3 linked regions of the Medicago truncatula genome follow. The protein of the gene in region 3 binds, or shares a complex with, the protein of the main gene of each other region. Links are inferred from orthologs where the notes say so. Each region holds a gene or a part of one and is shown on either strand. Other genes may lie near its edges.

Region 1 (6,948 bases), on a different chromosome or scaffold from region 3:
CTCACACAATTTAATTGTGGAGAAGTGAAGTGTCCGGGGTTCGAATCCCTGCCCCTGCATATAAAATGCGATATCCCTACCAATTGAGCTAAGGTCACGGGGATAGAGTTTTTCTTCTTTACTCATAGTAATATATAACAAAGTTAGAATGTTGACTTGAAAGTCATATTTTAATTCTATTGTAAATTTTAAAAAGAAGCAGCTATAATTAAAATCAATTCATTTTTATTCTAACAATTACAATTGATTTACATTATACATTTATTTTGTACTGACAACTTACATGAATAAAAATCTAGACAAAATTACTCGTTATGACACATGTCGCCTCTAAATTACTTGATTTTCTACCCAATAAACAATTCCATGTCTTGGTTCCTAAAAGGGATATATGGGTGAATCAAAATTGATTGGTAATAATAATAATTGAAAATTGGATTTTCTTCCCTATAAACTTTTCGATGCCTTGGTTCCTAGACATAATATATGGGTGAATTAAAGTAGATAGATAATATAAATTAAAAATTAAAAAATAAAACTTAAAAAGTTCAACTAATTTTTCCATACACATAGACACAAACATTTTGTTGGCACAGTTTGTAGAGGACAACATTTAGGGTTATAAACCATGACTTCCTCTCTTAGTAAATTCTACACCATATTCATCTTGATCTTGCTTTGTCTTGTATTTCTCCTTATTTTCACATGGGGTAAAAATCAACTAATAAACCTATATTTATTTGCACGTGCTTCTTTAATTCTATGCCTTGTTTAAGTTTTTATTTTTTAGTTTTTTAATTTCTTTTATTATTATTTTTTAATTTTATGTGTAGAGGTGGAAGCAAAACTTTGTGGTAAGCCAAATAGAACATTGTCAAGCCCATGTATTGACTCAGTGTGCTATGCAAAGTGCATCGACTCGGACTTGGATGCAGTATCTGGTTCTTGTGAAGGCTTTTTTACTTCTGAATGCTTTTGTTACTACGAATGTTGAGAAATGAGTTTTCCTTCGAGCAATTTCTGCCTTTGACATTTTTGTCAAATTTAAAATACTCTCTATAGTCTCACATATACATAAGTACTAGCATAAATGACCCGTGACAAGAGCATGTTAGTTTTTTATATAAAAATGTAGATCATTTTGGACTATCATGTGAAATTCTATTTATATTATGTAAAATTTAAAATGTAATGAATAAACCGTTGGAACATATTTTGAACACTTACATTATCCCTTCCAACAATATATACTTGTTGCTACGAAGACTTTTGCAGCTAAATTTGTAGCAACTCTCTAGCAAACTACCTTAGCTAGAAGTTTGCTACAGAATACCTATTGAATTGGCAGTAGCATTAATTGAGTGACAAATTTTCTAGGGAAATTGTTCTTGGTAAATCCATAGTAAATAGAAAAAAAATCCTAACAGATATTTAGCTATTAGATTGTGTTCTTGTATCTACTAAAGTCATGAACGTATCATGCAATTACTTGTTTCCTGGTAACCTTACCAATGATGATAGCAAGTTCATGCATTACTTTCTCAAAGAATAATTAAACATACACTGTGGAGTAACAACTTTTGATGGGTAGAGAATAGTCAAACATCAAATGGCTCGTCATACCTCTATGACTTGTGACTTCTACCAACTTAATTGCAACTTATAAGATACATACTAATTTTCTCCAGAAAATAGCTTATAATCTAGACTGGTTTCTGGATTATAAGATACATACTAATTCTTTGTTCATATATCGTTTCTTCAGAGTTTGTTTTATATAGACTTGCAGCAATAGTAACTACAAAATAAATATTGGAGATTTGCTCCTATTTGCATATTATGATATGACTATATTAAATCCATACAATAATTACAAATTTCAACACATATATTTACAATCATCTCATTACAATTGATATTAGAAGTGGCAAGTGCTTAGTTTCTTATATTTCTCCTAGCTGCTCTACTCTTTTCACTATCTGTGAAATAAACATGTGTCCCTTGCCAACAGAAAAGAACACTAAATTAATACATAAATTGAAAATTTTGGGCATAAGAATATATTGGTGGATACATAGCAAAGAAGCTATGAAGCTCGGATAAGGATACAAGTGCGATTACGATACGATACGGGTACACGGATATATGAACTTTTTTAAATGTAGGATACAATACGGCACATTAATAAAAAATTTATACTAGAACTTAAATGTATGTAAAATACTTGAATGAAGTAAACATTGATTATTCTTTATTATTATATTAATATAAAAGTCAAAATTTTACAAAAATAATACATGTGATCAAAATAAAAAAATGTAAAGTTTTCTTATAAACCATATTATATTTTCATATGTTCAGATATCGAGTGAAGCATAATTAAAAGAACTCAACACAAATTTTATTTAATATTGATTAACTGAATCACATCTCTCTCGTTATCTTCATCCCACAAAAAATATAATTTTAAGTGGTTCATCGAGAAACAATTCTACTGATGCATATCTAAAATTGAATCATATACATCTCAATTCAATTTTTACAACATTGTCTCAATTTTTTACTCCTCATATTTTCTAGGATAAGTATATGTAAAGTATCTTATAAGTATCATTGTGTATATGTGGAGTATCATATAAGTATCCGACAAAATATTTTTTAAAAAATTTAAATAATTAATTCCGATACTTTGTGCTTACGTATCCACGAGTATAATATTGATATCCGATACGAATACGTCTCTATTTTAAAGTATCTGAGCTTCATAGCTAAGAAGTATCATAATTATTCTTTTTACTTTATAAAAAATATTTCAACAAATACCTATGAAATACTACTTCACGAATATAACCAAATACACATCTTGTGAAAGATAAGGGCATAAGGTGAGACAAGGTTGGTGAAGTTGTTTCTCGATGACCAACATTAAAAAATAAAAAATTTATATTTAATTTATGTTCAGTTAAAAAATTAGAATTATTTTTGGGACATATTCTTATAATATTTTAAACATTCCTAAAGATTTTCATTAAAAAAATAAGAAATGAAATTGAAATTTTTTAAGAGATTAAAAGTGAAAGAAATTTTGTAGAGGAATTAAAAAACATATTTAACCCAAAAATATAAATGATACACATGAATTGATTTAAATTTAGGAACCAAAATTGTAGATAATTTTCATTTAACATTTTAAAATAGGTTTAATAGCAGTATTGGCCTCTTAATTATCAAAAAGTTGAGATTTTGACCTCCTAACAAAATAAAATACAATCCAGCCCCTTAAGTATTTCCCTTTTGTAGTTTTGGCCTCCAATGCCAATTTTGACCAAGTCAATGCTGATGTAGACCCCACTTGTGTAACTTTTTTATTTTTATATTAAAAAAATAAAAAAATTATTTTTTAATTAAATTTTTTTTTGTACATTGACTTGGTCAAAATTGGTCTGGGGTGCCAAAACTGCAAAAAGGTCGGTATTTAGGGGGTTGGATAATTGGATTTTATTTTGTTAAGATGCCAAAATCGCAACCTTGTGATACTTAGAGTGTCAAAACTGCTATTAAACCTTTAAAATATTATCAATTTAATTATTTTTTATAGGCAAAATTACACATTTAGTCCCTTAACTTAATTTCAGATAACAGTATGGTCCTTTATCTTTTTTTCATTTCAATTTGGTCCTTTTTGTCTATTTTCATGAGTTTTTAAACTTAAAATTCATGATTTTATTTTCTTATGGTCCTTCAGTCTTTAAATCTATGATCTTCGTCTATGTTTGTATAAGAATTTAGATTTGAAACTTGAAAATGTATATGAAAATGGACAAAAAGACCAAATTAAAAAAAAAAAAAGGTAAAAGACCAAACTGTTATCTGAAATTAAGTTAAATGATTAAAAATGTAATTTTGCATTTTTTATATGATTAGATAAATAAATGAAACAAAGGATGATGGATAAACCCCTTCATCCTCAACGTAACATAAACCCCAAAATTCCAAAATCATCTTTACTACAGAAATGAAACCAAGAACCTCCTGCTCCATGTAGAAAAATCCATCAATGGCTCTCAAATTTCCAAACCCTTCAAACCCATTTCTTCTTTCATCATCACCACTAACCCCATCTCTTCAAAATCCTAACTTTTTCACTCTACACTTCAGTAACCATCGCAGAAAGCTCAAGCTTCGAGCTTCATCTACAGCAGACCCAAATGGAGCTGATGGGTCATCTTGGTCAGAGTCATTGGACCGCGCTTCGAGGCGGTTTTTGGTGAAATTTGGAGATATGGTGAAGAAAGAGACGGGTGTTGATTTGGGAGATGGGGTTGGGAAGGTTGGTGAGTTTGTGGATGGTGTGAGGAAGGTTGGAAGTGAGTTGAGAATTCCGAGTTTGGATGAGTTTGTTGATTGGAACCGGTTCGAGAATTGGAAGGTAATGAGATTTTTACTTTTGTTGTTAGTTTTATTCATAGGTGATACGAGATAGAATTTAGGCCGTGCTTGGATAAGCAACTTATTTGCAGCTTATAGCACAAATGCGTATGTATAAGCTAGTTATATAACAAAAGATAAATGAAAGTTAAATTGTTATTGTATATGCTGTAAACTGTTTCAATAAGCTATCTTCGAGAACTTATGAGAATAAGATGAAAACAGCTTATGACCAGACATTGGTCATAAGCTGTTTTCGTAAGTTCTCACAAAACTCATGCCGTTAGGTAAACTCAAATAAGTCAATCCAAACAGACCATTTAGTGTTTGGTTTGTTAAGATTGTTTCGTTTTCATTGGGATGATGTTTGAGTTTTGGTATAATTGTTACTTGTTAGGGACTGTTAATTTACCGATAGTTACAAATTTTATTTTCAGTATCTGTTGTATTGAACATGAAAATGTGAATAGGAAATAAGGTGACATTTTTGTAATTATAAGTGAAACTAGAAAAATGATAGTTATAGTTCCGTAAGTACAACTTAAATAGTAAAAGGGTGCAGGGACACTTGACATTCGGGGGTGCAGGTTCGAACCCGCAGTTCTCCACTTCTAGTGTTTGACAACATCGCTTTACATACTTGACAGGATATGATATGATAGGATAGCATTGCATTTGTTTGATGAGTGGGAGTAGATTATTTGAGCTTATCTATAGACATAAGCACTCAAGAGACTGTTTAAGAGAGCTTATGGAAGAAACTTATGATATATTTATAGGCTGTTTTCGACTTATTTCAACAAGTTCTCTAGGATAGCTTATGAAAACAGCTTACAGCTTATATAAATTATTTTTGATTTGATTTTATCTTTTGTTATAGAGGTAGCTTATACATAAGCTCTTGTATGATTCACGCTTCTGATCTAAACACTTAATTAAACTGTTTATTTAAACAGGGACATAATATCTCTCATTTTCTTTACATACCTGATAGGATTGATAGGACAGGATAGCATTGCATTTGTTTAATGAATGGGATCGACTTTGTTGGCATTTATGTATTTTCTATCCTAGAACCATTTGTGTCCTGATAAATTTGTTTTGACCGAAAGAGATGCTATATAAACTGTTGGATCAGCATGGCAGAAGTGGATTACTTGCTTTATTCGTATAATTGGCTCCAGTTACTTTTGTTATTATCTATTTCTTTTTAAATATGAACTAAAACAATGTAGTTTATTCTTATACCAGAATGTCAAGAACTGGGAACCTAGGCGAATCGGTGCTTTAGTTCTGTATATATTTGTTGTAGCATTTGCTTGTCGAGGAGTATTTGTAGCAATTCAAGCACCTTTCCTAAACCACCAGAGGAAAGAGTCGACTGAAGCCTACATGGAAGTGTTAATTCCCGCGCCAACCCCGACTAACATCAGAAAGTAAGTCAAGCCTCGTTTATTCATTATGTTTGGCATTCATATGTTATATACACTTTTGACATATCAAATTGTTGGTTATAATTCTCTTAGAAATTAAGTTGTTCATTTATCGAACTTTTTCTTCTTCTTTCGGAATGTATAATATTCATTCACTACTTAAATCCTACTCAATAGAGTTCTAGTTACTAAAACAAGACAATAGTAGAGAGTGTTCAAAAGAGAATGTGGGTAGCTCGTCTCTTTGAACTACATGCTGTCTTGTTGATTTGACCAAGACATGCTTGATGTTGAGTGTTCCATTTTCTTGGCCTTGACATTTCATGAATGATGATGTATTTACACCCTTGGTTTCAAATTGAGGACTGTGCTATTTAATGCAGCCATAATAGTAGTCGAGGAGTTATAACCAGCTTGTCTAGAGTTCAAACACTGGAAACTAACATAACCACTAATTTACTTATAATAACATTTTCCTGTAAAAAAATAGTAGTTGAGGCATGGCATTTGGCATCATGTCGAATTGTGGGGGGTTTCAAATATCCTCAAAAAAATCATCCACTATGTATTTGCGGCGACTGCACCAGCTTATAGAAATAATGCTGTATTTTTTATTTCAAAAATAAAATTTCATGGCCAGAAGCTTGAAAAATTTCGAAGCTGTTTTGACAGTAACTGGCATTGTATTTGCTCCCTGCAGCAGTTACAATTACAGTGACCAAAAATCTAGTATGTAACCTCAACTGTAATTTAATTTAAAGCTATGACCACAACTTCTCCATGAACTAAACAATACTACAACATTAATGATGCTAGTACTTATAAATCATTATCTGTGAATTTTCTTGCGTATAATTTTGACATTGCCCTTAAAACCCCCAAAAGCTTCTCGCCACTGTTCAAACAATTGCTGACCTATCTGAATACTAAATTGAAATCAATTTCATGTACTGAATCATTTAATGTGTTGTATGCATTTAACCAAGGTTTTCATCATTTAATTGTAGATTCAAGAAGGTCGTGTGGAGGAAGACAATGCCAAAAGGCCTGAAAATTAAAAAGTTTATTGAAAGACCTGATGGAACAC
Region 2 (7,271 bases), on a different chromosome or scaffold from region 3:
CTTGATCGCTATATGAGAATAATGAATTTTTTTTGGGTAAAAAAAGGATGCGATAATATACTTTAACTACATGAAAATATTAATTTTAATGTGTGATTTAACATTAGCACCCTAAAGACATAACTATCCCTGCAAAAAAATAAAGACATTGATCTCACTAGTAGTAAAAAAACTAAAATTCATGATATAATAACTATTAGATTATGTTTCCTTCAAGAAAAAAATTAGTAGATTATGTTTATTTGACTTTGTACTAAATTTTTTATTACTACCAGTTATTTTTTTAACAATATAATACTTTACAGTATCTATATGTTAATTAATTTATTAATTGGATTATAAACGCTCTTGAAATGCATCGAGTTCATATTTTAGTTGAAACAATCTTTTATAAGACTTTACTTATCTTAAAGTGAACTTTAAGTTATTAGAGCTAACTTCCTTGAGACTTTAAGGTATAAGAAAAAATAATTAATTATATCCTCCAGTTACGGTTATAAGCAAAACTCAATATTTTAGGTTCATTTATTTAATGATGTTTGTAATCTTGCAAGTACAAAATGTAAAATGCTTGTTTAAGTAATAATACAGTAACTAATGAGTACACTATACATAAGGAAATACAATTGATGACATAATAAGAGACAACTGTACATAGTCATCCAGCTTCTTCTACTTGCCTTTGCCACGATCAACCTGCTTATCTAAAATGAAATAAAGGGATTGGGGTGAGACATGATGTCTTAGTGAGTTCCACTTATCCTAGACTATAGGCAATCTTGGAAACCTATGATCGTCATTTATTTGTACATAAACATAATTTAGGGTTTGTTGTTCTATTTTGCACATCGTATCGATCTGGGGAAGTCTAGGATCATTGACAGTATACTATCATAATTCTTGTCATATCATATCATATTTCATGTTATCATTCTTTTTGGTTAGCACTGTGAGCGTGTAACACACAATTATTATCAGAGTTCATTTTACGGAATGCATCGGGTAGAGTAACCCCAACCACATTCCACTGTTGTCTGATGAAATTTCATATTGTATCAGGCTAACATCGGAACTCCTCTTATCGTCATGTAGGACTTGCATTGGAAAAATGTATGTCCACTACTGACGGGGAACCTCAACTCCAGTACTGACGCGAAGTGCGAATGCCATAACTTAACTGCTTATATAATTTCTTATAAACATAATTGTTGAAATTTGTCTTCAAATTTGTGTTTTGGGAGAATAGAGAAATCGTGACACGTCGTGTCACAATTTTCAGGCAGCGAGCATGGTTTTTCAGGGTGCTCAATCGTGTCACGTTTTTAGGAAAACGTGACACAATTTTCAACTTGCTGGGCACATTTTCAAGATAAGGTTGGCCGTACCTTGGGTCGTACGCACCAATCGTGTCACGATTTGGACAAACATGACACGATTTTGACAACTGAAGACTGCTATATAAGTGTTCTTGTGCAGATTTTGAAGAAGAGCTTTTAGAGAGAGAAACTTGGATTACAAAGGAGGTAACTTTAGGGTTGAGTGTCTTTGTAGTGAGGATCTCTTGGGTTGGGGAACATTGTAAACACCTTGGGTAGTGAGATTTCGCCATTGGAAGGATCAAAAAGCTTCCTTTTGTGTTTTCTCTTAAGATTCATTGAGAGTGAGGGTGACACAAAATGGGTAGAAATTAAGTCTTGTTCTTGTGTAAGCTTATAAGCTAATTTCTTGTAACTATTTTGTAACTCTTTCATCATAGTGGATTGGAGGGCTGCTCTCTCCCCCAAATTAGGTCATATTGGACCGAACTGAGCCAACAATCTTGGTGTGTTTGTTCCTTTCTTTCATTGCTTATCTTTATTACTTTGATTATGCTTGTGGTGTTGCTCTACACTTAGATTTAGGTCTGTTTTTGTTGTTGATGTTTGAAGACACTTTATCTATTGATTACCACTTCCTTTGATCCACACATCTTTGTTATTCATTTCCTCCTTTACTGATTTTGCTACAATGATCAGCCAAGTGACACAAAATTTTCACGAGATAGCTTATATATATGTAGGAGGAAATGACCCAAATGCCCTTCTTAAGAATTTTCCCCGATTACTAATTACTTATACATTATTTTTTTTTCTTGACATAAACTATTAATTTAATTATCAAACTACCATTCTGGTTTATAATCTCTATGAAAATACAATAAATATTCATAAATATACGAAATCCATCAATTAATTAGTAGCTAATATTAAAATTAGCAATCAAATTGATAGATTTTATGTAATTTAAAGATGAATTATTATATTTATAAATAAATTGAAGAGAGAGTGATAGTTTTTGAGACTAAATAATAGCCGACCAAAAAAACTAGTTAATTAATGGATTTTCTCTTAGAGAATAAAAACAATATAATAATTTACATATTTATTTTTTTATTTAATAAAATTAGTAAATTTATCCCCTCTCGTAAAGTATTTTTCATAATATGTCCTTGTGAGCTTAGCTCAGTTAGTATGAATAATGCATAATAATATATAAGGTCCGGGGTTCAAACCCCAGCTACCACAAAAAAAAAAAAGTATTTTTCTTAACATGCAACAAATCTAATGCCATCGTTGAACTTATTTTGTTGAGTAAATAACTCTAGGAGTATTTCATATTGGTCAGAGGGACTTATAATAGGAAACCAATTGAGTATTTTATATCGATTGTGCATCAATCAACAATAAAAGAGATGGGTTTCCTTAAAAAAAAAAAAAAAGAGATGGGGTTGGGTAGCTCAATAGTTTGATCTTGAACGATAAGAAGTTGGAGGTCTTGGTTCAAACTCGGGTAAAAGAGAAAAACTAATCTAATAACTAAGTATAGATCAATTGTTAAGGAATAAGAAGTTGGAGGTTTGAGTTCAAACCTGAACAAAGAAATAAATGTCAATCTAACAACTTGAATCACATAATTAAAAAAAGGTTTCATAACACATCTTTACATGGAAATCCGTTGAGGAAACAATAAATGTCGCATTTACAATTGTTTGAGTCACCTTCCACCACCGTATTCGTTCAATCTAGTTTTGCGTCCAAGAATTCCTATCAACCACCACTTGACCTCCTTCAATTCCATATTTGTCCCATTAATTTCGTAGCTAATTCTTGAGACAAATATGAAGAAGAAGGGGGATAAAGGAAAAATATTTTAAGATGAAATCAAGAATGATAAAATGAAGCTATGAGATTGAATTAATCAAATGAAATGATGAAAACAAAGAAAGAAGAATATTAACAGATATTGAAGCATAAGGAAATCAGAAACCCTATAGATGTTTGATTACTGTGTGTTGTTGAGGCAAAGACTCTGTTGGGATGGCCATGTGAGGGCAGTAGAGGGGTGGACGCGCAACACATAGAAGTTTCTCAAAAATTAGAAGGAACAAAGGAGAGTGGAGATAGGGGTGTCATGGAAATCAAAATGTTGCATATGGACAAAGAAATGTGCCTTGGTAAAAACAATTGGTTGCTTCGTACAAAGTATTATTTGGTAAACTTCGTGTATAAGTAATGTAGAGTTCATGAGAATTTATTATTGTCGAAATTATTGCTTTGAAGACGGAAATGACAATTCAAATTCAAACTTGTATATGCAAGGTTAGCAAGAATTGGGAGGAAAATGGCTAGTTAGAACCCGCAGTCCATTATTATATTCAGGGGCCGGGGTTCGAACCCCGGACACCCTACTTATTCATTCTATAAGGTAAATTCTGGCCACTAGATTACCTGACAAAAAAAACCGCATTTAATGTTGGCGTGAGCCTTATTACGTAAGCTCATGTGAGGGGGAGGGAAACCAAGCTTATGATCAGGATTATTCAAAAGCTTAACCTAATAAGCTTTTATAAAAAGAAGAAAGAAGACAATCTCAAATTTTCAATATTTTATCATATCGACTTTTTTTTCATATACACATATAAATTTTGTTTTTTATATAATTACCGCAGGGGTCTTCTACTAGTTTGTATTAAATAATCTATCATGATACATTTTTTTTTTTTTTATCATTGAATTTATTTTTAACCAAAAATGCAAAATGTGAGTTTTTATATTGCTATATAAATATTTCCATAAAAATAAATAATACCGCAATAAAATAAGAGTTTTATGATACCGAATTGACGATCTAAAACTAACTTTTCACACAAAATTAATCAAAAACATTTAAAATTGATTTATGAAATTATGAGGTAGTGAAATTTATTAAACTCCTTTCCCTCTTTGAACTCTATCTATCTTCTCTATCCACTCCCTTTCATTCACTCAGTCACTCTCCTCCCGCCACGCCATGCCCAAACGACCTCGCGGTTTCGGCAATTTCGTCAAGAAATTCTTCAGAAATCGCTTCAAGGAATTCAACAACGCTTATGGCGAAACAGTTAGCGATGTCTTTGCTTTCCCCTTCAAAGTTCTCTTCACTCCTTTGACCGTTGCAATTGATATTGCTGGTTCTGCTCCTCGTGGCTTTGGTGTTCCTGAGCTTGTTTCTAAGCTCTCTGCTGCTTCTGTTTTTGTTAGTTTTGCTTACCCTTTTGTATTTTAGCTTTAAAAATCGATTCTTTTTGTGTTTTGCTTATCTGGGTTATCGTCAACTAGTTCTATTTGTCAATTTTGTGTTTTTTAAGGTGAATTGTGTTGTTTTGTTGAGGTTATGTTTTTGGGTTTGTGGGGTTTTGTGGAAATTATTGATGTTTTTTTGTTTATTTATTTTTCCTTAGTTTCTGGGTTTTGGAGGAAATGAGATTTAATGTTGGGTGCTTTGTCGAAAATTGAAATGAATGTTATGTTGCTATGAAACTGTGACACCTACACGAGACATGGCACTAACACTTCAACGCCGATGATAGTTTGAAAAAAATGGAAATTTGAAGGTTGGTGCTACATAGGTAATTTCATCAAGGGTGCTACCATGTGCCCTTGCCATAAGGGCACATGTTAAGGTACTTGAATGTAGAAATTTTGCATTGAAAAGAGCAGCTTTTGGACATTTAAGAAATTGATTACACAACTGTAGTTTTTTTTTTTTTAAGGATAATGTATGTAGTTTCTTAACATTAAGGGCACATGTTAGTTTCATCAAATGAGATTATTATTTTTTTTTGAAAATTGCTGCTGATACATCCTTTATTGTACTCTTTGATGGACTTTATTTGAGTTCATCAATTAGTCAATGACTACCACAAAATGTATTGAGTAAATTTTTATCAAATAATAGATAGTGTATCAGAAAAAATGTTATAAAGTGTGTTGCTAGTGTTCTTCTTTTGATGTTTGCAGGAATTGCATTGTATGCAAGTATCACCATTGTTAGTTCTTTGTTTTGTTTTTATCTTTATTTGATAATGAATATTGCTGCATGGCTTGATTGTAGGCGGTTGCTACTTTGGGGACTTATGACATTGCATTAAACTTGGGAAGGAAGGTGATATGTCAAAGGTGCTGTTTTGTTTTGTATTTATTAATAGATAGATTGTTGTTTCCTCACTTGAGGACATGATGTGTATAATCTTTGGTTAGTGTAGTGTTGTTTGTTGCCTTTGGAATTATTGAAATCTAACTAAATGTGTTATCAAGAACAGGGACTGTGTGACATGTAATGGATGGCAGGCCATGCGGTGTACCATGTGTCGAGGAAGTGGAAGAGTCCACTATCAAGTGAAGAATTGCCACCTGAAGAGGTGAGTACTCTCCATGTGGAAAAAAGTCAGAGTTTACAGGCATTATTCCAATGTAGTTTGTGGTTTATTTAGTGTTATTGTTGAAGTTTTTAATAATGAATTAATGATCTCACAAACTTGTAAAACAGTTGATTCCAATCTCATAAATTGAGATTCTAGTTGTATTTTAATACTCTGCAATCTTTATCTTTTCGGTTCATTTTTGGTTACATGTCTAGATAGTTCAAGGAAACTTCTAAAGTAATAAACTTTGCACTATAAACGATTATAGTGACTCTTACTTAGATGGTCTTTTAGAAGGCCTCTTAAGAAAACGTACATCTGATTTAGAACAATTTGGGTATGTAAGATAGTGCAGTAAAGTGTTTTTCCGTAAATAACTCCCTCCATTTTGATTCCTTGTAGCATATTTTTTTAATCATAATTTCATAGGATTCTCTCTTCGAACTAATATATAAATACCTTATATTTTCTTCTTCAATTTATTTATTCACTTTTAGTGGAGAGAAAGCGACGGCCGAATCTGTTGCAGATGCCATTGTCAACAACCAGGCTGAGTTAGTGCACATACCATCATCCTCTTTCGATCCTCAGATACCATTACCATCAAAAGACTGTCCAATTTGCGATGGAACGGTATGAACTCAATACAATGGCTGTTAACATGATTGATCTAGTAATTTTGCACGCCAATGCTGTTGTGATTTGTGGTTGAAGAATTTTTCGATATTGCACAGGGTGTAATGGGATGTCCTGAATGTAAAAACAAATTACCATTTAAGATTTCAGCTGATGGTGTGAGTTAATTTCTTTAATTCCTTGAACCTATTTTTTCTTTCTTTCTAAATTGTTAATTTTTGCTGATTCATATTTTAAACTTAAATATCATTTGAAATTGTGATAATTCTTACCATTTTTACGTGCCCTTTCTTTGTTTAAGATTATGGAGCCCCATTGGCAAGCTCGTAATGTCTTGGAAAAGATGGATTATCCATATGAGGTCAGTCGTCATTCTAAATTCTCACCTAATTCTATCCGACCAATTGCTATTATTGTCAAAATTGATAAGATAATGTAGACCTCTCTCATATACTACGAAAACAAACCTTGATGCCATACATTTATAGTCATTTGTTAACCTCTCTGTACTATTACCATCGGAGTGAATGCTTCTCTTAGATTTACATTTTATGCAAACTACTAATTAGTATTTTTTTCATTTGAGATTCTCACTCTTATTTGACACCGTATTCTTAATCTTTTTTATGTTTTTAATATTTTCAGCACATAAGGGATAGCATGAAAGATCCCGATATTGCTGAATTTTGGTTGATTGCCTATCCACAGATTATGTATGGATTTACCTATGGCGACAATGCAAAGAAGACAATATTGTCAGAGTATGAGGTTGTTTGTTCATATTCCTTCTTATTTTTCAGTTTCAGTTCAACTATTCATGTATTGATTTGTCCCCTTATTGGTTTTGATATGCTTTTATTTTTCCTTTTGAATGTCCTCTTTGCTCGTTCAAATTATTCCTTTTGGACTTATC
Region 3 (7,042 bases):
TTGTCCTCAGTGAGTATATGGGTTTCATAAAATTTACGATGGGTTGAATTTTCAAATTAAAATAAATACAGCATAGTAACTCAACAGGTTAAAAGGAAAAGCTTGTTAACTATTTATGAAATTCAATCACATTTATTTTTCGTGCCCCTTTCCAGTCCCTGCATGAAGGCTTATATACACACACACACACACACACACACACTAATATACCCCCTGAAATACCTCAAAATATCACAATGGAGAAGGATGATAAAGACCCAAGACAAGCCAAAATCAGCATAGAGTTTCATACATCAACCATTGTAAAACAAAAATGGAAAATCCAAGTTTGAAAGGAACGGTGTATTGCCCATTTTCCTTTAAGTTTACACATCAAGTTACTTCAAAAAAAAAATGTACAGGACAAATTCAATCCTCTAAATGATTTTTTTTTAACAGTTGATTTATGAAGTGCAGTAGAACCAATGCAGCCCACAAGCTTACAGTGTAAGGACTTGCAAAGTAACTAAGAACTTAGGATTTAAACAGTAACTAGTAACATTGTGCAGACTAATCTGAATTCAAACATGATTTTATGAACGAATAGAAAGTTTGAGTTTTTGAGATAATTTTCCTGACAGCAACTGAATTATATGTTGCACCTCTTTTAAAAAAGTACTGATTGTATTTTATTCTTTCCCTATTTTCCTTATTTCCTTTTATTCTTGATATGATATATGATATGGTACACTAGATATACAACTGTAATCTCTCTCGATCAATCCCAAAGCTCTGTGGGTTCTTTTCTTGTACAGAAAGTGTGTTTTGCATTATGTCATTCCTAAATGAATAAGAGATTAGATATGCTTGCTTCAAGATCAAACAACGAATCTCAAACAAACATCATAGCTAGGTTCTGAAGTTGAACAACTTCAATTGAATGTACATCGGAAGTTCCTAAAAGCCTATTGATCATGAAACAGGAATTTCCAATGAAAGCTTTTGAAAGGTACATTAATGATTGCCGCTCATCAGTTTCAAGTGGAAGAAAGGGGAAAATGCAAGTAGGTCATATTTTCCTTGCCCGCAAAATGGTTCTAAATTTCTAACGAAAAACCAGCATCAGCAATTAAGACCAAAGAAAGAGATAAACTTTCTAGTAAATCTTAATTACAAGCAGAATGACATATCTCAAGCAACTAAAACTAACACTACACAAAAATGAAATTTCAGTCAACCAAGGGGAAGTGGGATAGGAAATAGAGAAAAAGTATTGCACTGACCGACTTTTGCCTAGAGAACCAAGTGCGTGTCTTCTTAAGGCTGGCACCTTAGTTTGTGGGGTAGGCGGAGGAGTTCCCAAATCACAAGGTATCAACTTTGCATATATTGGTCTCATCAAATTATCAATCCACATAAAAAATCCAACAGCCAGGGCAAGACGCATAGACCATACAACTGCAGTTGCAACCGTTGAGTATACTTCAGCAGGTACAGCATCTACATTAATGACATCAACATTTACATTTTGTTGATGCAGCTTCCCCCAAACATCATTCCAACAATCAATCGGCATTCGATCAACCGCATGACGCCGAAAAACAATATCCTTGGGATTTTCTTCAGTGCCTGATGTTTTTACGTTCTTGTAATATGGTAAAATAACTGCAGACACACACACACACACACAAAAAAAAAAAGACAGCATTCAGCAATACACATTCCAACCAGACTGGTACAGCAACATATGCATTGTTCATTAGAAGGAGCATTTCTAAGCATGATAAGATAATGTGAAATAGCTAAAAAAATCCCAATAGCACATCCTTCAGAAGTTTGTTTTGATAAACATATAAGTACTTATATACGAGCTATTGCTATAATTAAAGATAAAATTAATGTCCTGTCTGGATAACCTGCTTCATTAAGCACTTATCATATAAGTGCTTGTGTTTAAGTTACTTCTATAACAAAATTCAAATGATTTCCACATAAGATATAAGATGTTCTCATAAGCTATCCTGGAGAACTTATGGAAATAATCAGAAAACAACTTATGGACGTATCATAAGTTGTTTCTATAAGCATTCTCAGACAATCTCACAAGTGCTTATAACCAGTAGATAAACTCAAATAAGTCAATTCAAACAAACCCTAAGTCAAACTGTTCTCATATAAGCTATAAGTTGTTTTCATAAGCTATCATGGAGAGCTTATATGAAAATAAAACGAAAACAGCTTATGGACATCTCACAAGCTATTTACGCAAGCTGTACCAAACAGTCTCACAAGAGCTTATGCCAGTAAATAAACTCAAATAAATAAGTGTGGCACCTGATAAGGTCTGTCCATAATCAGAGTACTCAATAGACTTGACAGCATTGGAGTCGAGCAATTTCAAAAAATCACTGAAATCAATCCTATGTGAATTTTCAGGATCCAATTCAGTTCCTTTTAATTTCCCACGAAAAGTCAACAAAGCTCTATTCCATGAAGAAGCCAATATAAGTTGCCTATCTAACTGCACATTAGCCTTCCTCTGAAGTTCTTCCATCTCATTCACCCGATTCTGCACACACAATTTTTCTCGTAAATTCACAACTTGAACATGAATTTTCACCTTATACAACTAGAATTTCATTTTTTTTTTTTCAATTAAAAGCTAACCTCGAAAAGCTGAAGAGATTGAGCATCTTCATCGTTGGAGGAAGATGTATTTGAAACATTGGAAGCGGTGATTCTGAGTTTGCAGTTGCGAGGGTTTTTGTATGGGAATTTGGTTCTAAGAAGGCGTTGAGAAAAACAAGAATGAGGGAATTGGGTGAAGAAGAAGGTTTTGCGAGGGAATAAGGGTTTTGGGAGTTGAAGTAATTCGATTCTGTTTGAAATTTGAGGATTCATGTTTAGAAGCAATGGCGAAATGAAGGGAGGAAGAGTTTCAGATAGTCATTGGCATCATATCCAAAACACACTCTTACTTTGATTACTATCTGTCTGTTTTCTGCATTTTGGGGTTCTTGTCTGGGTTTATGGGAATATCATTGTTTATCTTCTCTTCTTTTATTTTATCTGTGTAAAACAATTTAATAATTTTTCGAATCAATTGAGAAATGATTTTGGAAAATTAATTTTAGACGATTTTCACGATAACTTTTTAAATAGTTAACACAGTTTAAATAAATAGTTAATTTTTTTTTAGAGTTAAAGGTTAATTTTTTTTTAGATAGTTGATAAAGTAGGTTTTAAATTTGTCTATGTTTAAACCTAGATACCCCCCTTCTTATAAATTTTTAGTTATAAGCTACTTGACTAAAAATAAAAGTAGTGTAACAATGCAACTTCATTAACCACAAACTTGAATACAAATTTTAAATCTACGTGTAATTGAGTATTTGAAAATCATGGTTAACCACGTCTAAATTTTGTGGTGAATGAGTTTCGACACTTGATATATTCATTAATTATCTCATAATAAAATTACTCCATCCGATCGTATTTATAAGAAAAAATTGACTCTGAAACCCATTTTATAAATAAGACCGGAGAAAACATCAAATTTTACTGGGTTTTTACTTCATTTATTACTCCAAGTGAGAGAATTACTACATCACACAGAAAGAATGAGAAAAGATTTAATAATCGTAAAAATTAATTAATACTATAAACAAAATGGCAATTTTAAATCGTAGTATGGATGATAGGGATGATTTACAGCACTCGCCCTAATATTTTATTTCCAACACACTCTTATATATGATAAAATCCACGTAGGTCCATCTAAATTTGAGAATAAAACCCACATAAAGTGATACACCATCTTTAGTAAATAAGTATAAAATGACAAATAAATATAGATACATTTTTTGTTTTATTTAAAGATGATAAATGATTAACTTAATATACAATAGAGATAAAAAAAAAAATTAATTAGAATTAATAAGCTATAAGATCACATACTAGTTCAAGTCGCATCTAAAAAATGCTATAAGTTGATATAAGCAAATTATAAACTAACAGGGATAAGGTCATCTACCAAAAAAATTAACTATAAGATGATAGACGAGACTAGCTTGTCAAACATAATAACCAAAGATGGGAAGCTATTAAACTTTACAATGTAATAACATCTTGCCTTCCGCAATGGCTTCACCTGTAGACTAGAGTTCATTTCGGAAGCACATGGGACGGGGGTATTCTATCTATGAATTAGTATATAATGCCGATGGCTCAATGCTACTTGAAGTGAACTGTTGTACAGCTAAGGAGTTAGGCTGCCATCACTGTGGGTTTGTTGTTATGGGTTTCCAAAACCCCTGCGACCACATTGGTTCAAGGCACACGCAAGGAACCACCCATGTCGGAAATGGGTAGTTACAATTACAGTCTATCTAAAACATCTCCGCATATAAACAAGACCTTCCAAAAGCTTTAGATTGGAACTGGAACTGGAACTGCTGTATGGTTTCTTTTCACATTCTTTCTAGTTTGTTTCTCGAACCACATATACACTCTGGGTATGGATTTTCATAAAAGGACTCTTCAGTCCTGAAACGTGCCCGGCCTTTAACTCCCGGTAATGAACCTTGTCTTTTCCTTGGAGCTCCTTGCCTGCACATACGATTAAGAAAAATATGGAAGTTATTTTGACTTGAATAATTTGCAAACTGAAGTCAACAAGAGGTGAAAGGGAAATGATAGATGAAACAGAAGGAAATATATTACAGATTCAAAGGCAAAAAAAAAAAAAAAAACTTCTATGTTAAAGAAAAATTAATGATTTTAACGTCTAATCATCAAATCATTCATAATATGGTCACAAATGAGGGACAAAAAGGAGAGGGAATCTATTGAGCCCAAAAACATGATTTAACATTAAGCAAGAAACTTACCTGTTCTTGTGCATCCGCTGCACCATATGTGACAGTGCCGCTCCTTCTACTAGCTCTCCAGTTTCCAGCTTATCAAATATTCCAACAAGTCCTTTCCTGAAAATAAAAGGAATAAGAAGATTAAAGAGATATATTGAAGAATTAAAATTGTCAAGGCCTCTGGGTGGTCCAGTTTCTGAACTATCAGAAACTCAAGTATTTCTCTACAGAAGCAAGTGAAATAATGAGACGGTAAATTATTTAAACTTCCATAGCATATATATATATTTCATGGAACAAAAATAAGGGTTTATATACTATGCGGAATCAATATAATTGGAAAGGGAACAGATGGGGAATCCCATCAACTTGTATCATAACTGAAGTAGACAATGAAAGCTTGAGAAAAGCTGAATACGATGCTCAGACAAGCTTGAGAAAAACTTAGATGATCGATTATTGACTTTTTTTAAGGAAAAAATTTAGATGCAGTACAATAAGTGCTGTTTGTACTGTTATACACTGAAATTTTACCTAAACTACCTTCTCCTATTTTTAAGGGAAACAATTTTGGTGATATTTGTATGTGCAATTAACAAAGCACGGTATCTATGGTACTGTACCTAAGTTTGATCCTTTTTTTAATCGTGATTATTGACTTGATTATAGAACACTGGTGGAAAAAAATAACTACATTTTGGAAAAGACAGAATCAAAATAAACGGAAGGAAAACAAGCCTATATCTCTATAGGTAGTTCAAAACTCACATGTATCAACATTCCCAAGAAAATTCTACAATTATAATTTCTTGAATTCAGTACCTGTCTGGGTTGATTGTTTTGCGGTGATCTAAGAACCTGCGGTGTCCCTCAACAGCTCGTGCCATATTTCCCGAATAAGATGGAACAAACACATCACTCTCTACAGAGATTATGTAATCGACTGCAGCATTTTGAGATGCATGATTGGTGAAAGCTTTTAGCTCTTCAGGAGTTGCAAGAGATTCCTGTTAACATTTATCAATCACTTAATCAGGCGAACACTGCGCCTCACCCAAAGATTATGAGCTATTTGAAGTACTTGTTAACACAGTTCGACAACATATTAGTTTGCGCACCTTAGAGATTAGATTAGGGAAGCGGGAAGAGAGCTCTGATAGATGAGTATTACCACCATAGATCTCCCCTGCAGCAATGTATATTGGTGTTGATGGGGGAAAGCCAAGAGCTTGAAGAAAAATGCCAACCTCCTTTGGAGTCAATGGACAAAATCCTCCAATTCTCTGTTCTGTTGAGTTTATCTTTTTTACTTTCCAATAATTTGTAGTCTCCCTAGAAGAATTGAAACAAACTTTTCTTAAAAATAATCATTGGAATTGCTGGGCATATATATTTCAAATACATGGTAGAATGATTCAGCACACATATAATAACTGATCTCACCTTAAAATTCTCAGCTCTTCAGATTCTGCATCTGTCAGACCATAAGCACAACCAGTAAAAGATAGCATATCTTTCTCATATCTTAGATGGAGAGCAATATATCTTTCCCCGCGTGATCTCAGCCGATCTACCAACCTCTGTTTTTTAACCGTCATGTATGCTCAGAACCTAATTTACCACGAAGCCCCATGTAGACATCTTAAATGCATCAAAAGTGAAGGACATTGTGATCCTGGGATCACATGCATCGTTTTCTAGCATGATGTACAGAAATATTGGACTTAAACTGGCAAGGTTTGAATCTAACTTTTCAGCATCTAAAATATTTAATTTGCCATGCATCCATGTGCCCTCAAGAAAATCCTCTTAAATTAAAACATTCATTCAAGAAAATCCTCAAGACAATAGTCTGAATCCTATTCTTTCTCCTTTGAAGTACAACTTTCTTAAGGATTTCCAATTATTATTTAGGCACAAAATGGAAAGCAGTTCATTTTAATTTGTATCTTTACATATGATATCACCTTTTTCATTCTCCCTAAATTGCTTCATTTAAAATGCTTTAAAAAATGTTAGTATATAATTTAATACACAAAAAAAATGTGAGAATTGAATCGGTTATTTCCTCTTTAATCTCTATCCCAGAATTTTATCAGTTAATAAATCCCAATATGATGCACAGATGATATTTCTATGGCACATATAGGAGCATAGCAGTTGCATCGAAAAAAGGCCAAACCTTTCCTAGATTC

The links.
Region 1: the proteins of probable inactive ATP-dependent zinc metalloprotease FTSHI 4, chloroplastic (region 3) and ATP-dependent zinc metalloprotease FTSH 12, chloroplastic are in contact, whole or in part, in a cryo-EM structure (PDB 8XKU), measured with the Arabidopsis thaliana proteins. The link is inferred for Medicago truncatula from reciprocal best matches to the Arabidopsis thaliana genes EMB3144 and FTSH12. Residues at the interface, in NP_201263.2 of Arabidopsis thaliana: Lys91, Leu92, Arg93, Glu94, Glu96, Arg97, Leu100, Met103, Glu104, Val112, Glu115, Arg116, Val119, Met120, Asp123, Arg126, Tyr167, Tyr170, Asn213, Trp216, Lys217, His220, Val224, Asn225, Val226, Glu227, Val228, Asn230, Val231, Val234; in NP_565212.1 of Arabidopsis thaliana: Leu255, Ile258, Ile259, Asn262, Arg264, Ile265, Gln266, Lys270, Leu273, Leu277, Val279, Lys359, Leu360, Pro361, Tyr362, Thr363, Tyr364, Leu366, Lys368, Glu373, Asp382, Lys384, Arg385, Met390, Glu392, Tyr398, Asp401, Ile402, Pro403, Leu404.
Region 2: the proteins of probable inactive ATP-dependent zinc metalloprotease FTSHI 4, chloroplastic (region 3) and uncharacterized protein are in contact, whole or in part, in a cryo-EM structure (PDB 8XKV), measured with the Arabidopsis thaliana proteins. The link is inferred for Medicago truncatula from reciprocal best matches to the Arabidopsis thaliana genes EMB3144 and emb2737. Residues at the interface, in NP_201263.2 of Arabidopsis thaliana: Asn149, Phe150, Ser151, Met154, Tyr170, Gly171, Gln172, Arg206, Met207, Pro208, Ile209, Asp210, Gly211, Asn213, Asp214, Asp232, Val233, Val234, Glu237, Thr240, Thr241, Thr244, Phe245, Trp248, Leu252, Phe255, Val256, Tyr259, Asp263, Thr266; in NP_001032071.1 of Arabidopsis thaliana: Pro63, Glu64, Ser67, Ser70, Tyr71, Ser73, Val74, Val77, Ala78, Leu80, Gly81, Asp84, Ile85, Asp88, Lys92, Cys102, Asn103, Trp105, Gln106, Ala107, Leu108, Arg109, Lys114, Gly115, Thr116, Gly117, Gly173, Thr174, Gly175, Ala176.

The regions. Positions count from the first base shown.
Region 1 is NC_053049.1:19,170,010-19,176,957, forward strand, and holds the start of ATP-dependent zinc metalloprotease FTSH 12, chloroplastic, read left to right. Parts: upstream 1-3,939; 5' UTR 3,940-4,057; coding exon 4,058-4,429; intron 4,430-5,679; coding exon 5,680-5,864; intron 5,865-6,868; coding exon 6,869-6,948. UniProt on the Arabidopsis thaliana protein: Probable ATP-dependent zinc metallopeptidase.
Region 2 is NC_053043.1:39,212,588-39,219,858, reverse strand, and holds the start of uncharacterized protein, read left to right. Parts: upstream 1-4,262; 5' UTR 4,263-4,329; coding exon 4,330-4,554; intron 4,555-5,412; coding exon 5,413-5,477; intron 5,478-5,620; coding exon 5,621-5,719; intron 5,720-6,219; coding exon 6,220-6,355; intron 6,356-6,456; coding exon 6,457-6,516; intron 6,517-6,659; coding exon 6,660-6,719; intron 6,720-7,003; coding exon 7,004-7,126; intron 7,127-7,271.
Region 3 is NC_053044.1:47,335,671-47,342,712, forward strand, and holds the start of probable inactive ATP-dependent zinc metalloprotease FTSHI 4, chloroplastic, read right to left. Parts: upstream 3,020-7,042; 5' UTR 2,881-3,019; coding exon 2,647-2,880; intron 2,549-2,646; coding exon 2,314-2,548; intron 1,645-2,313; coding exon 1,263-1,644; intron 1-1,262. Other genes in the region: O-fucosyltransferase 38, read right to left, coding at 4,449-4,587, 4,869-4,964, 5,670-5,854, 5,966-6,179, 6,291-6,427, 7,030-7,042. UniProt on the Arabidopsis thaliana protein: Functions in chloroplast biogenesis and chloroplast division. Required for plastid development during embryogenesis. Might be involved in chaperone functions or play a structural role in the thylakoid FtsH complex.